2 linked regions of the Ovis aries genome follow. The protein of the gene in region 2 binds, or shares a complex with, the protein of the main gene of each other region. Links are inferred from orthologs where the notes say so. Each region holds a gene or a part of one and is shown on either strand. Other genes may lie near its edges.

The links. The genes of interacting proteins can lie anywhere in the genome.
Region 1: the proteins of SMC2 (region 2) and NCAPD3 are in contact, whole or in part, in a cryo-EM structure (PDB 9F5W), measured with the Homo sapiens proteins. The link is inferred for Ovis aries from reciprocal best matches to the Homo sapiens genes SMC2 and NCAPD3. Residues at the interface, in NP_001036015.1 of Homo sapiens: Arg112, Ala122, Asn123, Asn124, Thr125, Arg126, Leu218, Lys222, Arg225, His229, Trp940, Asn942, Ala943, Glu944, Phe948, Arg981, Met985, Arg986; in NP_056076.1 of Homo sapiens: Asp31, Met72, Ile80, Pro127, Gly128, Ala131, Phe135, Pro137, Asp141, Lys235, Gln237, Gln240, Leu1121, Asn1196, Asn1200, Pro1203.

The regions. Positions count from the first base shown.
Region 1 is NC_056068.1:82,059,263-82,069,879, forward strand, and holds part of NCAPD3 (condensin-2 complex subunit D3), read right to left. Parts: intron 10,193-10,617; exon of another isoform or gene 10,104-10,192; coding exon 9,941-10,103; intron 8,643-9,940; coding exon 8,458-8,642; intron 7,900-8,457; coding exon 7,732-7,899; intron 7,651-7,731; coding exon 7,589-7,650; intron 7,399-7,588; coding exon 7,311-7,398; intron 5,306-7,310; coding exon 5,172-5,305; intron 1,656-5,171; coding exon 1,583-1,655; intron 591-1,582; coding exon 465-590; intron 301-464; coding exon 48-300; intron 1-47.
Region 2 is NC_056055.1:18,958,947-18,969,563, reverse strand, and holds part of SMC2 (structural maintenance of chromosomes protein 2), read left to right. Parts: intron 1-1,292; coding exon 1,293-1,486; intron 1,487-2,554; coding exon 2,555-2,698; intron 2,699-5,732; coding exon 5,733-5,927; intron 5,928-8,034; coding exon 8,035-8,235; intron 8,236-10,617. UniProt on the Homo sapiens protein: Central component of the condensin complex, a complex required for conversion of interphase chromatin into mitotic-like condense chromosomes.

The DNA.
Region 1 (10,617 bases), on a different chromosome or scaffold from region 2:
TGGACCAGCAAGAATGAGGCCAGGCTCGGGGTGCTCAGCACACTCACTGTTATGCAGAAGCTCCTGGATGCTGTCCGACGGGGCTGAGGCAGAGGACTCCAGGCAAAGTGCAAAGCTGGAGAGCGCCTTGCTGCGCACCGTCGGGGCCTTGTCTCTGCAGCGGGCGACCAGGATTTCCTGAACCAAGAACTTATGCTTCAGGAACTTCTCGTGCTCCGGGGCCAGCGGGCCATCCACCTCTCGTTCAGGCAGCTCCAGGAGGGCCAAGGCCACGTCAAGAGTGAAGACCCGGTGGGAGACCTGGTGAAGCAAAGCCGCACGCGTCCCCATCACAGAGGAACAGCGCATAGTGCCGCATGCATCTCCGCCACAGAGGAAGAGCACCCAGCGCCACTGCATCTGCAGTCTGCAGGTACAGAGCTGCAGAGCTGCAAGCCAGGAGCTCACACAGGCGCAGCGCCTACCTTGGCATTGCGTGTTAATCCATAAAGCCAGGCCATGAAAGAAGCATATTCTGCACAGGGAAGCTTGTTGAGCAGCTGGACCAGGGACTGAGCTGCATAAGTCCGGTACTCAGACTTGTCGACCACCTGAAACACAGGCCCTGAGAAGCTGCCCCGCTGGTCCCCACGCAGGACAACAGAGACACAGGCCCTGAGAAGCTGCCCCGCTGGTCCCCACGCAGGACAACAGAGACACAGGCCCTGAGAAGCTGCCCCGCTGGTCCCCACGCAGGACAACAGAGACACGTGCATTGGTGGAAGCAGACGAGCGCCAAGTGCACCCCGCTCAGCAACAGTGCAAGTGTCTACATGCTACAGAAATGACTATCCAGTTCCACGCCTCAGACCTCCTGGGAAACTAGCCTAGGAGAGGTCTCCAAGCCTCAGACCTCCTGGGAAACTAGCCTAGGAGAGGTCTCCAAGCCTCAGACCTCCTGGGAAACTAGCCTAGGAGAGGTCTCCAAGCCTCAGACCTCCTGGGAAACTAGCCTAGGAGAGGTCTCCAAGCCTCAGACCTCCTGGGAAACTAGCCTAGAAGAGATCTCCAAGCCCGATTTCAGAGTTTACAGATCTCTAGGATCCACAGAGTTCAAGTGAAGCATCATCTGCCCAAATTGCTAAACATTTTAAGAGATATTCACAGAATTTTGAATGCTAACCAGACACTGGATGATATTAAGGCATTATTCTGAATTTTTTAGGTGTGTTAATATTTTGTGGATATGTTTTTAAAGAGGTCTTATGCTGTAGAGAGACACATGCAATATTTATGTCTGAAGGAGTATGATGAAATCTGCTTCCTAAGAAAATCCAGTGTGCCTATGTGCTGGCAGAGCTTTTCCTTATACAAAATCACTTAACATTCTGTTCATTACTCTGTTCTATATCTTTATATATTTGAAGATTTCTAAAAAGGAAAAAAAGTTGTTTTATCCCCCCCAAATACTCAAAGAGAACAGCAAACATACTAAACAGAAAAGACCACTCTTGGTAACGACACAGGCTCATTTCTGGGAACACTGATACATGCGTCTACTCTTGCGTGGTTTTCAGCCTCTTAACACTACAGCCAGCAGTACCTTGACACAGATGTGCTGCAGCAGAGTACGAAGGACCGGGTACATGCTTTCCTTAAGTTCATCTACCAGTACGCTTTAAAAAAGAAAAGAATCACTGTTTATAATACATCTATAATAAAAATAAAATAACAGCTTCCCCTAAACCTATTCTCAAAAACAGTGACACTTCTACATTGTAGAAAGCCTGACTACTAAGAGCAATCTGCGCCTGTGCTGGAAGCGAGGCCTGAGTGTGTGGAGTGTGAAGAGAGCGTCACAGCGGAGCACCGTTCCCCACGCCCGGGTGGTCTCCAAACTGCTCCCAGTAGCCAGTCAGGGAGGGGCAGGGCCCAGACCTCCCAAGACCCTTGGGCTGCTTACGACGGCTCTTACCAAGGCTGAAATAAGACCCCTCGTGGCTCAGCGGTAAAGAGTCCATCTCCCAGTGCAGTGCATGCAGATCCAACCCCTGACCCAGGAAGAACCCACAGGCACAGGGGCAATCGAGCCTGTGAGCCACGCCTCCTGAGCGCGTGAGGCACCTCCCCGTGCCGCAAGCCCTGAAGCCTGGGAGCCCTCGAGTCCACGCTCTGCAGCAAGACACCCACACAGGGTGATCAGAGTAGGCCCCTGTCGTCTCAGCTAGAGAGAGGCCCACGCGTGAGGCAGTTAAGCCCCAGAAGAGCCATAAATAAAGAAACAATGTTTCAAATGCGGCAAGCTTTCTCTGTGAAGAGCTTGACTTTGAAGTCAATGCCAGATTGAGACATAGTACTACCTTGTGGTAGGTCAGCAAAACGGATTTCTAACAGCACTTCTCCAAAGTTAACCCTCAAAGAAGCTATTAAAACGCCCAGACTCAACCCATCTTCAAGTTTATTCACGCCATTATAGAAATATGGCAATTACTGACATCACGAATACACGGAAAATTTAGAACAAGTGCTTCTACTCAAAACATCTTATTTGCTGTTTAAAAAAAATCCTTAAGGCTCACTCAGGGGCCAGACAGCACCTGTACCTGCATGCCAGCACCCACACCCGCACCCCACGCCCCGCACCCGCACCCCACACTGCACCAGCAACCTGCACCCCGTGCCCCGCACCCCATATCTGCACCCACAACCCACGCCCACACCCCGCACCCACGCCCGCACCTGGGCCTGCACCCTGCACGTGCGCCCGCGCCCTGCACCCACACCCTGCGCTCGCACCTGCACCCCACACCTGCGCCCGCACCCCGCGCCTGCGCCCCATGCCCCGCACCTGCGCCCCATGCCCCGCACCCCGCACCCCGCGCCTGCGCCCCATGCCCGCACCCCGCACCCCGCGCCTGCGCCCCATGCCCCGCACCCCGCGCCTGCGCCCCCATGCCCCGCACCCCGCACCCCGCGCCTGCGCCCCCATGCCCGCACCCCGCACCCCCGCGCCTGCGCCCCATGCCCCGCACCCCGCGCCTGCGGCCCATGCCCGCACCCCGCACCCCGCGCCTGCGCCCCATGCCCCGCACCCCGCACCCCGCGCCTGCGCCCCATGCCCCGCACCCCGCACCCCGCGCCTGCGCCCCATGCCCGCACCCCGCACCCCGCGCCTGCGCCCCATGCCCGCACCCCGCACCCCGCGCCTGCGCCCCATGCCCCGCACCCCGCACCCCGCGCCTGCGCCCCATGCCCCGCACCACGCACCCCGCGCCTGCGCCCCATGCCCCGCACCCCGCGCCTGCGCCCCATGCCCGCACCCCGCACCCCGCGCCTGCGCCCCATGCCCCGCACCACGCACCCCGCACCTGCACCCCATGCCTGCACCCCGCACCCCGCGCCTGCGCCCCATGCCCCGCACCACGCACCCCGCACCTGCACCCCATGCCTGCACCCCGCACCCCGCGCCTGCGCCCCATGCCCCGCACCCCGCACCTGCACCCCATGCCCCGCACCCCGCCCCCCCCGCCCGCGCCCCCATGCCCCGCACCCCGCACCTGCACCCCATGCCCCGCACCCCGCACCCCGCGCCTGCGCCCCATGCCCGCACCCCGCACCCCGCGCCTGCGCCCCATGCCCGCACCCCGCACCCCGCGCCTGCGCCCCATGCCCCGCACCACGCACCCACATCTGCGGCTGCGCCTGCACCCCGTGCCTGCCCAGGCACCGCTTCCGCTCACAGGCACGCTCTCCGCTGTCCCCACCACCTCCGTGCTGCTGTCAGACAGACAGAACCGAGGACAGAACAGCGAGTGATGTAGCGGCATCTCCTAGTAAAGCCCCGACATGGGACTTTGCAGGCAAAGCCTGCTGACTCGTGAGAAGATGAGTCTATCAATTATTGATAAAAAAGTTAAAAAAAAAAAGTGGCAAGGAACCTAAGGAAAGAGACTTAGAGGAGCCAGAAAGGCAGAGACAGACTTGGAGCAGCAGACACAGAGACCGCAGTCGGGACTCAGAGCTGGCCTCACCAGCGGGCCCACAGGCCACGAACCCCTCACCACCCCCAACAGCACCCCCTACACCACCCCTACACCACCCCCAACAGCACTGCCACACCACCCCCTACAGCACTGCCACACCACCCCCTACACCACCCCCAACAGCACCCCTACAGCACCCCTACAGCACCGCCTACACCACCCCCAACAGCACCCCTACAGCACCCCCTATACCACCCCTATAGCACCGCCTACACCACCCCCAACAGCACCTCCAACAGCACCCCTACACCACCGCCTACACCACCCCTATAGCACCCCCTACACCCCCAACAGCACCCCCTACACCACCCCCAACAGCACCCCTACACCACCCCCTACAGCACCCCCAACAGCACCTCCAACACCACCAACAGCACCCCCTACACCAACAGCACCCCTACACCACCCCTACAGCACCCCTAACAGCACCTCCAACACCACCCCCAACAGCACCCCTACATCACCCCCTACACCACCCCTACAGCACCCCCAACAACACCCCCTACACCACCCCTACAGCACCCCCTATACCACCCCCAACAACACCCCCTACAGCACCCCCAACAGCACTGCCACACCACCACCTACAGCACCCCCAACACCACCCCCAACAGCACCTCCAACACCACCCCCAACAGCACCCCCTACACCATGCCCAACAGCACCCCCTACACCACCCCTACAGCACCCCCAACAGCACCCCTACAGCACCCCCTACACCACCCCTAACAGCACCCCCTACACCATGCCCAACAGCACCCCCTACACCACCCCTACAGCACCCCCAACAGCACCCCTACAGCACCCCCTACACCACCCCAACAGCACCCCTACACCCCCAACAGCACCCCTACAGCACCCCCTACACCCCCAACAGCACCCCCTACACCCCCAACACCACCCGCTACACCACCCCCTACAGCACCTGCAACACCATCCCCTACACCACCCCTACAGCACGCCCAACAGCACCCCCTACACCACCCCTACCGCACAAGCCAGATGGGCTGCTATGCGCTTTATCCTGAACCACAAGCCACACACAGCCCAGACACGTGTCAGCTCCTCAGGTGTCAGAAGCCGCGGCTAGCACAGGGCCCAGGCTACTGAGGGCGAGTGACGGAGAGACGCGAGCTATGTGCCCTTTACCTTACAAACTGGATGGCCAGCTTCCTACTGCTGACAACCGGCGGCGTGATGGCAAGCGGGGTGTGATGGGAGCCTTTGCCCACTTCTACCATCAGTATTATGCAGAGCATTTGATGCAAAACGTATCTGAGAACCTGGAAGAGGAAAGGACATGCAGCTTAAGGCATGACAGAGAATCCCAGGGCCTTGCCAACTGTGACGCAGACCCCAGTGAGCTGTTTCAAGTGCCAGCAGGTAAAGGAGGTTGGCACAGGTTCTGGCGGACCACGAAGGGTGCGCCTGCTGCACAACGACCAGGTGTCATACCTGCACAAAACGAACAGTGCGGAGGTGCTGCCTACAGACTGATCAGCCGGATTCCACCCAGTTTCTCTGCTTGCCTTATACTCCAGCCCAGAAACCAGGGCTCGAGAATCAGCTGCAACTGAGCAAGGCCGAAGAATGCAACGGATTACCCCCCACAGGAAAGAGGAAGGGGATGATTCTCCACCTATGTTACAGCTGAAGCTTACAGAACACCTTCCCGTATATCATCTCACAGAATCTACTCAAAGGGTTAGCTTGTGCAACCAGTGAATAAAATAATTACTGGAAACCAAGGATGTGGCCGGTACTGCATTAAGCATGTCTCTGTACTACAAGATTTGACCATACTTACTCTGAAATCTCTCAACTCAATGAGGTCAGCAAAACATTTCCATTCTATACTTGATACTATTATTATCTCCACTTTATACATACCAAAAGACTTTGAAGATGAGCAGTCCCAAGTCAAGTAATCAAAGATAAGGCTACAACCACAGTCACCCAACATCAGGCCAACACTTTTGCAATGAAAAACACCCTGTCCTTAGAGACACTGCCACCTGAAAGGGTAATTTCCCATCCTCTGCACTTTCTACTCTACAATGCTAAAAAGGGCACAGAAATTAAAAGTTTTACTGTAAATGCTATCACATATTCCAGACACAGGGAAGAGATAATGACATCAAAAATTAAAGAAGGATGGGGTGTTTTCTAAACAGCAGGCATTACGCCGAGGCACTCTTCCCTGCAGTCCTCCTGAGAAATCCACAGGAAGGGAAGGCCCTCATCCTCCTTGTCCAGGTGAGGATACCAAGGACTCATGGAGGACACACAGGGCTTCTTCTGTGGCTCAGTGGTGAGGAATCCCTCTGCCAATGCAGGGGACACCGGGTCAACCCCTGGTCTGGGAGGATCCCACATGCCTCAGAGCAACTAAGCCAGTGCTCCACGAGATGCCACTGCACCGCAATCAGAGAGCAGCCCCCACTCACGGCGACTGAGAGAAAGCCTGCTCGCAGCCGCAAAGACCCAGCACAGCCAAAAATAAGTTGGAATGTTTTTTCTTTTTAAAGGGAGACACACAGCAGTGAGGCGTAGGACCCAAGTGCGGAGCCCACGTGCCCAGGGCCTCCTCACCCCGCTCCCTGGAAACCAGGGCACTGCAGGCGCTGAAGGCAAGGGCCTTGGTCTGCCATGTTTTCTGCAGACTCCTGCTGCACTAACGACATTCAGGTTCAGTAACACCCCAGGGCTCACAAAGCCCTGACCCCAGTGTCTAGGGCTGTGCGGCTCTGAAGGTCACCACAGGCAAATCCAGATATGAATGCTGACCAGGAGTGTCAGCAGAATCATCCACTAAGGCACAGACGCTAACAGGAACACAGGGGCAGAGGGGCCTGCGGGGGAGCTGTAAGGCCCCATGGCTGTCTGTCCTCCCAGAGGACTCTGGAATCATCTGCTAAAGCACAGACGCTAACAGGAACACAGGGGCACGGGGCCTGCGGGGGAGCTGCAAGGCCTGTGGCTGTCTGCCCCCCAGAGGGCTCTGGTGAGCGCTCGAGCGGCAGCCCTGCCCAGCAGCTTTCCTGCGCCTCTGCAGGCCCCGCTGGGGCCTGCTTTATGCCTGAGCTCAACAAGAGTGTCCTGCGGCACCAGGGGCCTGGGTATGAGCCTGTAGCGAGCAGCGGCCACCACGTGCTGACGGGCGCTTCTCATCACAGACACCAACGACCCAGCGAGTTCACACAGCATCGCACTGAGTCCTTGCAGCACTTCTAGTCACACGACCCGTGTGCTTTCAATTCCCTGTAACTCAGCTCCTGTCTCCTTTACCGTGTCTCCTTCTCTGTGAAGAGGGGAACAAAGCAGATACAGTCCATGGTAGGCCAGTTCTGGTATATACTTCATTTCTCTGAGAACTCTAAAAAAAAAGGCAAAAGATTAGTTAATGGATGTGATTTCACTAGGATAAACTCCTAACCCTATCAGCCTTATTTAAATGAATGAATTCTACCTGTGTGCCAATCAGGATAGAATGACATTCACACCTCTGCTGCAGCGAAACATCTCACCATAATTAAACGTTAGCACCGGGGGATTTAATTGCTCACCTGGCTTGTGTAACCTGGAACTCGTAACGAACTGGTTCAAAACTAGTTAACGCAACAAAGACCTGGAAAACAGACACCAAGAAAAGGCCTGATTTTTCCCACTCTCTTTGAACTTGCCCAAGGTCCCTGGCATTCTCACTTACCTCCACACAATTCTGTATACACTCTGGCTTTTCCTTTAAGGAGAATTTAGAAAGAAGCCTTATAAAGTTCTTCAAAACTTGAAAGAGGACATTTCGAATCTGACGACGATCTTCAGAAGAATAAAAAACACCCTCTTCATCCTCTTCTTCTTGAGTAGTTTCATCCATCTAGATTATGCGGAAACACACAGCCGACTGCAGCACTGCCTCGCAGCCTGTCCGAGGTTTGCAATGTCCCTGAGTCAAGGCCAGTGGACTCTAGGGGGCCTCCCTGGGCCCCATGGCTTCAAGCTCAGTCTGGACCACATGAAGGCTACCACAGCTTCTGGGTCCGGATTTTCACATCAGTGAGACTGCCTGGGTTTCTTACCAGTTCTGGTGTCAACGAACCTCTACCCAGTCACACAAGAATTTGGAATTAATGCTATTCTATTATGTTCTTGTGGACATGAGTCCTCTGGACACTTCAACCATGGTCTCTAATGAAAATAAGGTAACACCTGCTGGCCTGCGGCGAGGCACACCTGGGAACAGACTGGAGGGAGGCAACAGGGAGGTTGGAAGACGGCACGGGGAACAGAGGCTCAGCAGGCCACGAGGCCACGCCTAGGGGAGGGAAGGCGGACAGCACGCTAGAGCTTTGGTATAATCATGACCCCCGACATCCTAACTTGATATAAATCCTTACACGAGTCAGACGCGCTTCCTGGCCACACCCCCGCTTACCTCCACCTCCTCTCTCCTGTGGGGTCTTGCCCTCTTACTGCTCTCCTGCGAGTTGCCCTGAGTGTTCTTTGGTTGCTCTTTCTTTCTTTTCTGATTCAAGCTGGATTCCTGAGGCCAGCACTTCTTTAGAATCTGAATGCATTTGTCAAATATCACTGGATGGAAAACTTGATTGACTACGCTGCCTATTTGTAAAGAATAAAGAGTAAGCAAGGTAGGTTTAATTGCTTTGAAATATATCTGCTACAACAATGAAATATTTAAAAACAAACGCAGGCTTTTCCTTAACTAACAGGAACCTTTAGCAAAAAAGTTTAATTCAACTTCCACCCTAGGCAACGAGCAGTCAGTTCAGTTCAGTCGCTCAGTTGTGTCCGACTCTTTGCAACCCCACGGACTGTGGCACGCCAGGCCTCCCTGTCTATCACCAACTGCTGGAACTTGCTCAAACTCATGTCCATCAAGTTGGTGATGCCATCTGACCATCTCATCCTCTGTCATCCCCTTCTCCTCCTGCCTGCAATCTATCCCGGCATCAGGGTCTTTTCAAATCAGTCAGCTCTTTGCATCAGGTGGCCAAAGTATTGGCATTTCAGCATCAGTCCTTCCAATGAATATTCAGGACTGATCTCCTTTAGGATGGACTGGTTGGATCTCCTTGCAGTCCAAGGGACTCTCAAGAGTCTTCTGCAACACCACAGTTCAAAAGCATCAATTCCTCAGTGCTCAGCTTTCATTATAGTCCCAACTCTCACATCCATACATGACTACTGGGAAAACCACAGCTATGACTAGACGGATCTTTGTCAGCAGAGTAATGTCTCTGCTTTTTAATATGCTGTCTAAGTTGGTCATAGCTTTTCTTCCAATTCTCAGATCATAGGAGTAGGTCCCTAACATTTACTACAAAGGCACCGACATAAGCAATTACAAGCAGCAGGTTGACTGACCCTGATTTTCTCTCTGGTGGACTCGCAGTCCCACAGCTGCAGCTGACTCCTCAGCCGCACCGTCTCCTGCCCTGGGCTCGGGGCGGGTCCCGCCTGGACGAGGTGGGGCACCATCCCAGACACACTCCTCCCTGGGCTCCCTCACTGTGACTAGCTGTGCTCAGCCCTGCAGGTGAGGACAGCCCACCGACCGTCCACACGACACAGCGGGAAGAGCAGCAGCCCTCCAACCAGCACTGTTCTCAGGCTGGACAGGAGTGAGAAGGCAGGGACACCACGAAGGCACGGGGCACGCCCCTCCAGCCTTACCCCTCTGGGACTGTGTGCTGGGTTACAGACTTAGCACGGTAACATCCGAAGCCACATTTACAGGAAAACAGGGGAGCTTTCTGAACACCTGTGACAGACCATGGGCTTCACAGATTCACTGTCACCTAACCTCCCAGCAAGGACAAAGCATTGATGTAACAGTTCAAAACCAAGCAGACAAATTACAAACAGAAGGCCTGCCCCATCACACCAAACGTGCATACCTGGTACTTCCAACAGCAGAAAATACAGCCCGGCGGCGTGAAGGCCAAATTCCTGCTGCTGAGCACTGACATTTTTCTTAAGGGCCTTATAAACGAAGTGGTGAAACAAGGCCATCAGCGCATTGTGGGAAATTCTGTTCTCCACGAAGAAGGTCCAAATGCTCTAGGGGAGGGCAAACGGTAAGCACCAGTCGTTAGAGCGCTGTGAGAGTCTCCTCTTGCTGTTTCTGATTCTTCTGAGTGCTTAGTGCCCTATAAAAAAACGAACAGACCATTCTGCCTCCTAATTATAAACGTCTGCCATTTTCAAAGGGACTAAAACAGAACATTTAAAAGTGTATTATTCAAAATTTACAAAGTTGAGGAGTTTCCTGGTGGTCCAGTGGTTAGGACTCCATGCCTTCACTGGGGAGAGTCTGGGTTCCATTACTGGTTTGGAACTAAGATCCCACAAGCTGAGTGGCTCAGCCAATAAAAGAAAAAGTAAACGAAAATCACAAAGATAAGAAACTATACAAGAATCTTAATTAAACTTGCAAAATAACTTTGGGTAAGTTTGAAGCGTATGTATTTCTGAAATTACTACACCTGAAAGCTACACTAAGACTCTGGGGACACCTCTGTCAGTGATTACTCAGACAAGTCACCCCTCCATCTATGTTAAATGTATCTCAATC
Region 2 (10,617 bases):
TTTAATTCAACTGGACTTTTGTTTGTTGGGAGGTTTTTGATTCCTTATTAAATTTCCATATTACTGTCTTTTCACATTTTCTATGTCATCATGATTTAATCTTGTTAGGTTGTCTTTTTCTAGGGATTTATTTCTTATGGGTTGTCTGATTTGTTGGTGTGAAATTTTTCATAGTTACCTTTTATGATTCCTTATATTTCTGCGGTATCAGTTGCAGTATCTTTTATTTCTGACTTTGAGTCTCTTTTTTTCCCCTTAGGTCTAGCTGGAAGGTTATTGGTTTTAAAGAGCCAGCTTTTAATTTCATGGATTCTTTTTTCTATTTCTTTTTAGTCTCAATTTCATTTATTTCCACACTGATCTTTATTATTTGCTTCCTTCTACTAACTTTGGGTTTTGTTTTTTCTTCTTTTTGATGCAATTCTAAATGGGACTGTTTAGTATATAGAAACACAACAGATTTTTGGTGTAAAGTTGTTTGAGATTTTTCTTTATTTCTTTAGGTTGGCATTTGTTGCTATGAACTTAACTCCTCGAACTGATTTTGCTACATCTAATGTACATTTGGTTTGTTGTATTTCTGTTTATCTTTGTGTTGGGTATTTTTAAAATTTCTCTTTTGATTTCTAGAATGATATTCTACAGTGAAAACTAGTATAGGAAATTGTATAATCTTGGCTTTCAAGGTTATGTTTGTACCTAGTCCTAACACTTAACAGTGTATGTTGATTGTGAGCATAACATGCTCATTCTATCTTACTTTATTTTTTTAATGTCTAAATTCAGAGGTAATATGTTTCCTATGCTTCGTCCTAAGTATAGTCTCACAATATTTCTCCACTTTAATAAGAGTTTCCTTGAATAAAAATAAGTGAGCAAGGAACACTAAGTTAAGCTTTTTTATGGGGTTAATTAAAAGTATTCTTATAACTAAAATAAAAGTACCATAGTTATGTGCTCAGTTCTGGTTTTATAAAGCATATGGTATATAAAACGGTCTGTGATCTTTTTATAAGTTAAATTGTAGATAAAGTTTATGTTACTCAATTTCATGTGATTGGAAATAATTTCTTTACAGAATTTAGATAATTCAAGTATGGCTCTAAGGTATGACCTGTGTTTTCAACATACTATTTCTAGGATAAAGTTAGAACAGTTAATTTTTTTTAAACTCTTGACTCCAACTTTCTATACCTTTTCTTCTCTTAAAAGTTGAATTTGTAAGCCCTTTTCTGTAGCTGTTACTAGTTGGAAGATCTCATTTAGTTGTATTTGCCTGCTTTATAATGCAGAGGAAAGTGAGGAGACCTTAAAAAACACCAAAGAAATTCAGAAAAAAGCTGAAGAAAAATATGAGGTGTTGGAGAATAAAATGAAAAATGCTGAAGCTGAAAGAGAGAAAGAACTGAAGGATGCACAGAAAAAACTAGATTGTGCCAGAACTAAAGCAGATGCTTCTAGCAAAAAAATGAAAGAAAAACAACAGGTAATTTTTTTTAATAGAATTAATCTTTTAACATCAGCGTAGAACTGAAGGGTGGTAGAGCACCATTGGTTGACATGGCCTTCTTCATCGATATGTGTCACAAATCAAAAAGTGAGAGACAAAGTTGCTTGATAAAGGTTTGATTTTGATAATGTTTCATTCAGGAGTGGACCAAAGCTTGTATCATGTAAGCCAAGCTGTGTCTTATCAGAGAATCACTGTTGACGTTTCTGTTTGGTGATCATCTGTTTGAACAGACACTGTGAAGGAATAATGATGGCAAAGCATGTTATATTTGCAGTGCTATTCAGTTGTAGACTATTTTGGATAGTTTCAAGGCTGGAATTTGAACCTATGTTTTTCTGTTTACAAAGAAGGCTACATGCTCAATCACTATTCTATACAATTTCACTATTGAATACAGTTTCACTTAAATCTAACTTTGCTTCACAGTTCTTTTTAAACCCACCTTATGATTCTACTATTAAATATTTAGCTTTATACAAAGCATTTTGTAAAGAACTAAAGGCTATAATGGGAAAGAAGAGAAGCTATTTTTTTTTGTCATTAAATAATTGTTTAAAAAAGGTTTTTAACCTCTCCTAATTTATCTGCTATATAGAATTCTGTATTATTTTTCTCTATAGGAATAAAAGGATGAAATAGTTTATGCAGAGTTCTTTGAACCCATAAAAATTGTATGTACATTTTTTAATATAGAAAAATAAATTCATTTTCCCTTTTTCTTCTTTGGAAGCAGCTTACATGTTTTCAGTAATTGAGTAAGCTATGGTCCTTACTTGCTTAAGTATCTTATTAGTTTTGCTGAAGTGAAGTCGCTCAGTCATGTCCGACTCATTGTGACCCAATGGACTGTAGCCTACTGGGCTCCTCTGTCCATGGGATTTTCCAGGCAAGAATACTGGAGTGGGTTGCCATTTCTTTCTCCAGGGGAACTTCCCAACCCAGGGATCTAACCTGGGTCTCCCGCATTGTAGGCAGACGCTTTACTGTCTGAGCCACAGTAGTTGGTAACTATTGAATGCCCAGATGCTGTGTTTTTTATAGGAAGTTGAAGCTATCACCCTGGAGCTGGAGGAGCTCAAGAGAGAGCATGCATCCTATGAACAACAGCTTGAAGCTGTAAAGGAAGCTATCATATCCTACGAGGGTCAGATTGCAGTAATGGCCTCTGAGGTGGCTAAAAATGAGGTGAGAGTGATTTAACCACATTAGAGAAATACAGATATCAGTCTGCTTCTGAAATGGTGGCTTAAAGATGTTTGACTTCAGAGGTCTCAGTCTCTTCACCCCTGTCATGATGAGAGGGAAAATGATGACTACCAATCAGAAAGAGTCCTGAAATAATATCACTAATTGTTTTAGTCCAGGTCTATTGGAAAATGAAAACACCCAGTAATTTGACCAGGCCGAGTTTAAATAAAAATTATTAACTATAACAGGAATTTGGAATGATGTATGACTGGATTGCTAAGGGGTAGAGAAAACTCTAAAGAATGAATAGCAGATATAGGAGCAGTTATTACCTATAAGCTGAAGCAGTGCACCCCCAGAAGGAACAAATCTGGAAAAGAGCCCCATTCTACCTGCAAGGCTGATAACTACATGTAGTTGGAAAACACATTATTGTGGCCCTCTGGTGGTGGGGTTTGGTGTAGTAGGGAAACCATGCTGAGCAAAGTGCTGCACAGGACATCTGCTGGGAAAACAGCTTTCTGGGACACCAGGGGGACTGGCCACAGGGAGGTGCCCAGCCTGTGAACAGGCTGCAAAGACTGCTGCTGGGTATGCCATGTAAGTGACAACCTTGCCTTTGAGAAAAGCACATCAGAACCAAGAAGTGAAGCCCCTTCCTTCTCCAGTGTCCCTAAAGCATCCTTTACTGATGAGGCTTCATATTGTTACACTCGGCAAGGGAGAGTTGTTCCCATCTCAGAAGCAGGCAGTGAAGGGTGGATTTGGGGTACGAGGTTTCATGTTGTGAAGATATTTCTATTTCCTGCAAATATTAGAAATGCTCCCTCATGAATATTGGATACCCTCTTGACCCTTTCTTTGATTTTGACCTTGAATTCTGTTTTGTTTCATTATTTCTACTCATACTTTTTAAAACTCAGATTTAATTGGCATAACATTTATATTGGTTTCAGGTGTACAATATAATGGTTCAACATTTTAATATATTGTGAAATGATCACCCCATAGCAGGTTTTTTTCTTGTGATGAGAACTTTTTAAGATGTGCTGTCTTAGCAACTTTGAAATACATAGTAGTAGTTATTATTACTACTGTCACCATGCCCTACAAAGTGTAACCACCTTTGGTTTTTTGATACACCTTTTTGTTGTTGTTGTTAGTTTTCTGTTCTGTTGCAGTTATGTACTTTTTGTAGGTCATGTTAACTAAAATGTAATAGCTTCTAACAGGGGCATTCCATCCATTTACCTAGGATATAGTAAAGTGTGTTTTTTTTGCCTTTTGTCCTCTACTTTTACATTTCCTGTTACATTTTTTCCTTGAGATGATTGTTTTAATTGCTGTAGTGTGCATTGTTTTAGAAAGTAGTTCTTTTCTCTTCTATTTGTGGTTAAACTCAAGGGTTTTTTTTAACACATTATCAAATCAATAGCAGAACAATTTTTTAACTATCTTTTTGAATCAGGGTTCAAAATGCTTTTCAGCTTTGTGTTTTGTCTTGCTGATTACCTTTTCTACAGTTTCTTTTCTGCCTTCTGACTTGCCTTTTTGTCTCATTCCTCCATATCTTCTACCATCTTTCATGGACGTCATGTTGTGGAATTTTTTTTAAAATTAGATGTCATATTTTTAAAGAGAAATGTGGAAGTAAAATAAGTCACTTCTTCCTTGATCTAAATAATGATAAAATCAAAAGCATATACATATTTCGATAAAGAGAATATCTATTTTTCTATGGAAAACTATAAAATGTATCTCTAAGTTTGTAAATGTTGTTCTTTTAGTCTCTATATTCTAAATTGTTTCTGTTTGCCCTCTTAGGGAGCTAAGAAGATAAATTGCCTTCAAATTAATTATGTTCAAACGAAACTAAAAACTTTGGCTCAATCTGAAGTGATAGATATCCTTGTTTTTCTCTTAACCATTGTAGATTGAAACAGTTACACCTATGACACCATCTTCAGTCTTTAGGTGTGAGAGAATCAGCTTAATAAACATGTTTTTGTCATGCGCTTTTGTTTTGGATTTTTTAGATGAATGCTGAGATTTAACTTCCTCCTGCAAAGGACCTTTTATGACACAAACATTATAAAGAAATTACTTATGTCATGTTCAATAACTTAACCATAATGTCAGGTATTGTTTATCGCTCAAAATTATCTTGTTTTCTAATGAGCATGCCTTAAAAAATTCCTAAATTTTTACTGACGCTTATCGTCACTTCAAGATATCTATTCTTCCTCAGTCTTTTAGCAAGTTGTTCTACTCTTTGTTTTTCCCTACCTAAATCTGAATTGAGCTAGGTTCTTTTTTTTCAGATGTTTGTGTGAGTTTGTGACCATATCTTTACCAGAAAGACCTTTAAGATCTAGCAAAGAACTTTCATGGGGAGGAGGTGAGAGTTGGTAGACTAAATCCCAGCTGTAATTTTCACTTCGGAGACAAACCGATGATACTAAAAGAGTGAGAAGTTTTTCTTTGTGCCACAGATATGTTTCTTCAAAAAGTTTCTCTTCCTCTTCCATATCTCTGTTTTAACCCCTGTGCTAGAACTAAACACCCTGACCTTTTGTTGCCACTGTCAGAGGCCTTATGGCTTACTTCTGTAGAAGGGAAAGGAACCAATGCCAGCTTACCTTACTTCCACCTCCATTCTTTGCCTTCATAATAAATGGCATTTGGGGGTCTGTCATATTATTTTGTAACCACCACCAGAATCCCACTCTTTTGAGAGACCGTACAGGGCAAATCCCAGTAACCCCTCCTCCACCTAGGTGATCCCAGTTTTACTGTGTCACAGGAACTTTGTTGCTTCCAGCATGAACAATGCATCGCATCCCTTTTTCCGTAGTGGTAATACAAGTTTTATTTGTAAATGTGTTAGTCATTTTCATGGGGATATAAAATGTAGAAGGTTAGATGACACATTGCCTGTGTCACATAGAAGTCTGTTGGATGATCTTTCAGTAAACCAAAAAATGTCTCCATCTTACCTTGCTGTATGTTATCTTGTAATTATTCATTGCAGGAGTTAGTAAACAAAGCTCAGGAAGAGGTGACCAAGCAAAAAGAAGTGATAACAGCCCAAGACAACATAATTAAAGCTAAATATGCAGAAGTAGCAAAACACAAGGAGCAAAACAATGACTCTCAGCTTAAAATTAAGGAACTGGACCATAACATCAGCAAACATAAACGGGAAGCTGAAGATGCTGCTGCAAAGGCATGTTTGTATTGTTCACTTTTATTTTTAATCAAATTTTTGCCTCTGGGTTTTTGAAATGTTCTGGTAAAGTGCTCAGTGAAGAACTTAACTGTAAATGGCAGAACTACTGTGTAACAATTTTGAGGCATGCAACTATGACTGCTTCTCAGCAGTCACCAAATGGCAAAAATGTTTTATTTTTAAATTTAATCTCAGGGGCTTTATTCCCATCTCCAAGATGTTTTTAACCAAATATTGAATGGCCTCCCATGGAAATGACTGTTTTTTTTAATCCCCAGTTGTTCATAGAACTAATTACTAATGTATTAATAGTAGTAATATGTATTCTTTACCTAATTGCAAATTGAATTTAGGGAACTCACAGAGAAGTATCCACAAGGTACTTCTGAAGTAAGGACTTAGTTGGTTTAGGATATCCTTATGAGGGTTAGTATAGTCAATGTTCGAAGTCTCATTTGAAATCTGACATTTTGCCAGGCAGTGTCTTTGAAGTTATCCCACAGTTTATTGGTCACTCTTAATTAAAATTTCTTTCATGTATCACAGTAACCTAAGTACTTTAAAGAAAATACATAGTTTTGCAGGAATTCATTGCTTAGTTAGGAGGCTTCATTTATGTGGTTTTAATAATTCACTCATCATGTTTTCTTACTGGTGTGTAACAGTTTGGTGCCTTTTAAATCTTTTTTAGCATCATAAAAGTACAAGAGATTTAATTTCAAAAAGATGAGAACATACAAAACAGTCTTCCACCCTTTTCTGCAAGAGCCATGATTGCCTGTTCAGGTTCATTACTTTGTTTAAAAAGCATTTTTTTAATGACCACATGATAATATCCTAATATTTTATTAGTATTGATTTCCCATTTGCCTAGTAGCCTAGTATTAGTGGATTCACTGAACTATTACCAATGCTAATATTACTGTTAATAGGTTTTTTTAAAAATATAATTGACAATACTAGTATTGGTGGTTGCTAGGGGATTCTATTTACAGTTAAGTGAAGAGGGTACAAAGAGCGACTTGCAAGCAGAACTGCTAAAAAGTCAAGTATTCTTTAAAATACATAGTTTATCAAATATTTATTGTATACTTGTACCAGGCACTGACTTCCCTGGTGGTGCAGATGGTAAAGTATCTGCCTACAATGCAGGAGACCTGGGTTTGATCCCTGGGTCGGGAAGATCCCCTGGAGAAAGAAATGGCAACCCACTCCAGTACTCTTGCCTGGAAAATCCCATGGATGGAGGAGCCTGGTAGGCTACAGTCCATGGGGTCGCAAAGAGTCGGACACAACTGAGTGACTTCACTTTCACTTTACCAGGCACTAAAGATACAAGAATGAGCAACATGCCACAGAATGTGTTCATGGTGCTCACAGATGAGCAGGAAAAAAAGATAGACTAGAAATGACCATATTACTTTGAAGTCTGGTGGTGTGACTGTACTCATGGGATTAATAAGGATGATTGACAAGGATTAGCTTTCAGCAGTCAGTACCAATCTTAAACAGTTATAGTAGAAGAAAGTCTTCTTAAGCACTATAATTAAAAATCCTTAATGGTTATATTACATGAGTATTTTACTGTGCCTTGTCAATGAGGGTAGCAAGGGGATGGAGTCAATATTTAAGATAATGTTTTACTTAGATTATAATTTCAAGAATTATTAGGTACCAATCACGATTAGGCTTTCATGATTTTACAGTATCTATGACTTAAATATTCATATAAGACTAAACTTTCACAAGTTGTTTTTTTGAAGTAATACGTTGAATTTGGTAAAATCTGGAGCCTCATCTCATTATAATGGCAATGTTTACACACATACACACACCCGCATACACTTAACTGTTTCTCTGAGTTCACATTTATTTTGATGCTTAAGTAATATCTTTTTCTATTTTTTGTAGCCTATCCTCTAGATAAAAATATTCATACTTCTTACAGGTTCACAGTCAACAATGAGTCTCATTTTTTTTTCAAATGAGTCATTGTGGGATTTTCCTAAAAAATGTTTGTAAAAATTAGTAAATACTTAAGAAACTAATTTTTAAATATAGGTTTATGAGCAATGATATCATTCTATTATCATCTTTTGGCTAGGTATCCAAAATGTTGAAAGACTATGACTGGATTACTGTAGAAAAACACCTCTTTGGGCAACCCAATAGCACCTATGATTTCAAAGCTAACAACCCAAAAGAAGCTGGTGAGAGACTTCAGAAGTTGCAAGAAATGAAGGAGAAACTGGGAAGAAATGTCAACATGAGAGCCATGAATGTGCTGACTGAAGCTGAAGAGCGTGTAAGTCACTTTGCTCTGCCTGTGGCCGCTGCAAAACATGAGTAGCCTTGGTGGATTTTATGACCCCTGGCGTGTGTGCGCTCAGTCTGCAGCCCATGGACTGTAGCCCGCCAGGCTCCTCTGTCCTCGGGATTCTCCAGGAAAGAATACTGGAGTGGGTTGCCATTTGTGTCTCCAGCAGATATGACCCTTGAGACAATTATTAGAGTCAGTCTAATAATTTAGGCTTAAATTTTAGATTTAAAATCTTTGCTTTATGCTTTTGAAAATTTGTTTTGTGTTTTCCTTTTCTTCCTTTTCGGTTATTTCTTTTCTTATTTCATTCTTTTTGTTTCATCAGTTACCTGTTCTGCTGTGCTTAAATGACTTTTCCACTGGCTTTTGCTTTTGCTGTGAACATGTTCAACCCCTCTCTTATTTTTGGTTTAAATAAAAACACTTTCGATCTTGTTAACTCCTCACATTTTTACCATTTCTTTCACTTGTCTTTTTGAAAGGCTTTGAAGAAGACTCTACAGATTTTCCCCACTATCCAAAAAGTAGGGCATTCCTTTGAAACCCTTCCTATGCCGAAATGGTATAAAGCAAAAAAGCAATTACCGTAGGGCCCGTCTTGCTAACAGATGCACAGAGCAAACTGAAATAAAGCACAGATGCTTATAGACACAGTTCAAAGCTCTGGGAGGAGGTTTGATGCTGAGATGCTCAGTGTTGTTCCCATGAGGAGCTTGATGGTGCCACTCTCACTGCTTAGGGTGTGTCCTGCTTCTGTAAGAAATGGCTCACTGCAGCACACATGCTGAACGTTATTTGTGCTTTTTACCGTTTCTTGTAAAAGCAGTGATACAAAGTGAACTTTGAAAAAGTGAGAGAATACCTGTCTGTTCTAACCAGTGTCTTCCTTTGATTCAGTGTATTGCAAGAACCATTACATAAGTAAATGACTAAAACTGTTATATACATTAACACTGTTTTACTAATCTGTAAATCCAGCAGCATCTTCTCTGTTTTAATGCTCTCAGTTACTTGATGGTGTTATTCATCTCCCTTACCTTTTACAGTCTGCATGTCACTAGAAAAACCCAAAGGGGAAAGCAATTCCTATTCTTTATGGCCCCATAGGAAATAGCAATCTGAGTAATTTTATATTTTGCCCTGTATCTTCTTTAATTCTGTAAAACTGAATTTGTATAACAGCTAATGAGAGTGCTATAAAAGTGAGTACCTGTGAGCTCAATCACTTTTAACAAATTTTTTGGTAATGGGTTTCTTAAAGCTGTTACTGACATTAGTATCTACAAAGAATCTATATTATGTCAGATACTAAACAGATTAATAATGCACATACTGTGACCTTCTGTTAAATATTCCTGCTGGTTTTCATTTCTCCATTAAGTCTTTGCAATATATGGCATCTTCGTGGAAGGGAAATATTTTGTCTGAATTTGAGCTGCTTAACATTGTGAAATTTGTTTCCTTATACTTGTTTGCTTTTATTATATAATAATAACTTGAGCTAGTTTTGGGGGGTTTTTTTTGTTTGTTTTTTAATTTTACAACTCCCATCTCCATATCAGAGAGGAAGGGCTTTGTTATTGTATTTTGGGTCACCTCATGTAAGAAAATACATGGAATTATGCAAGGAATAGGATAAAAATGTGGCCAAGGTCCTAAAACCTTTTCTTCACAAAGGAAAGGGACAGCAAGGAAACTAGCAAGACTGGCTGTAGTTTTGCAGGGAGAATATGAAGCCACCTTGAAATGTGAGGCTGTGAGGAGAAATAAGTTAAAAGGGTTTTTAGAAAGTTCTGCTGCTCCTCATGATTTGATTATCCCTCTGTAGTCTCCCTCAAATTTTTTTTTCAGTAAATTTCTTCATTAACCAGAGAAGGCCACTCTGAAAATGAGATGTGGGAGTGGAAACCTGAGGCGCCAGTTAATGTCTGAAGTAGAGGAAGAACAGTGCAGGGGCCATAGGGCTACAGTGAGCTTATGCTCAGGAAACTGAAAATGAGACCATATGGCTGGAGCCTGGGGAGGAGTGTGTCGCCAGAAGTTCAGAGATAAATAGGAGCCAAATTATGTGGGACTTTATACATCATGGTGAATAGTTTAAAAAGTTACATCTTTATGTCACTGCTAAGACTGACCTTGCATGCAAGGCTACTTTTGAGTTTACATGACAAATACTCCCTTTTTTGCCTTGGCTACTGGGTAGATAAGGGAATATAAGTGAAGTCAAAATGTTTCAAGAGTTTGTGCTATCAATTCTCAGCTATAGTAATTGAATTTTACATATAGATGTGTTTACTTCCCTCAGTTTGGGTTACGTTGTAACTCAATGTAGTGTTATCTTTTTGGTAAGAAGGAGTTGTATGTATC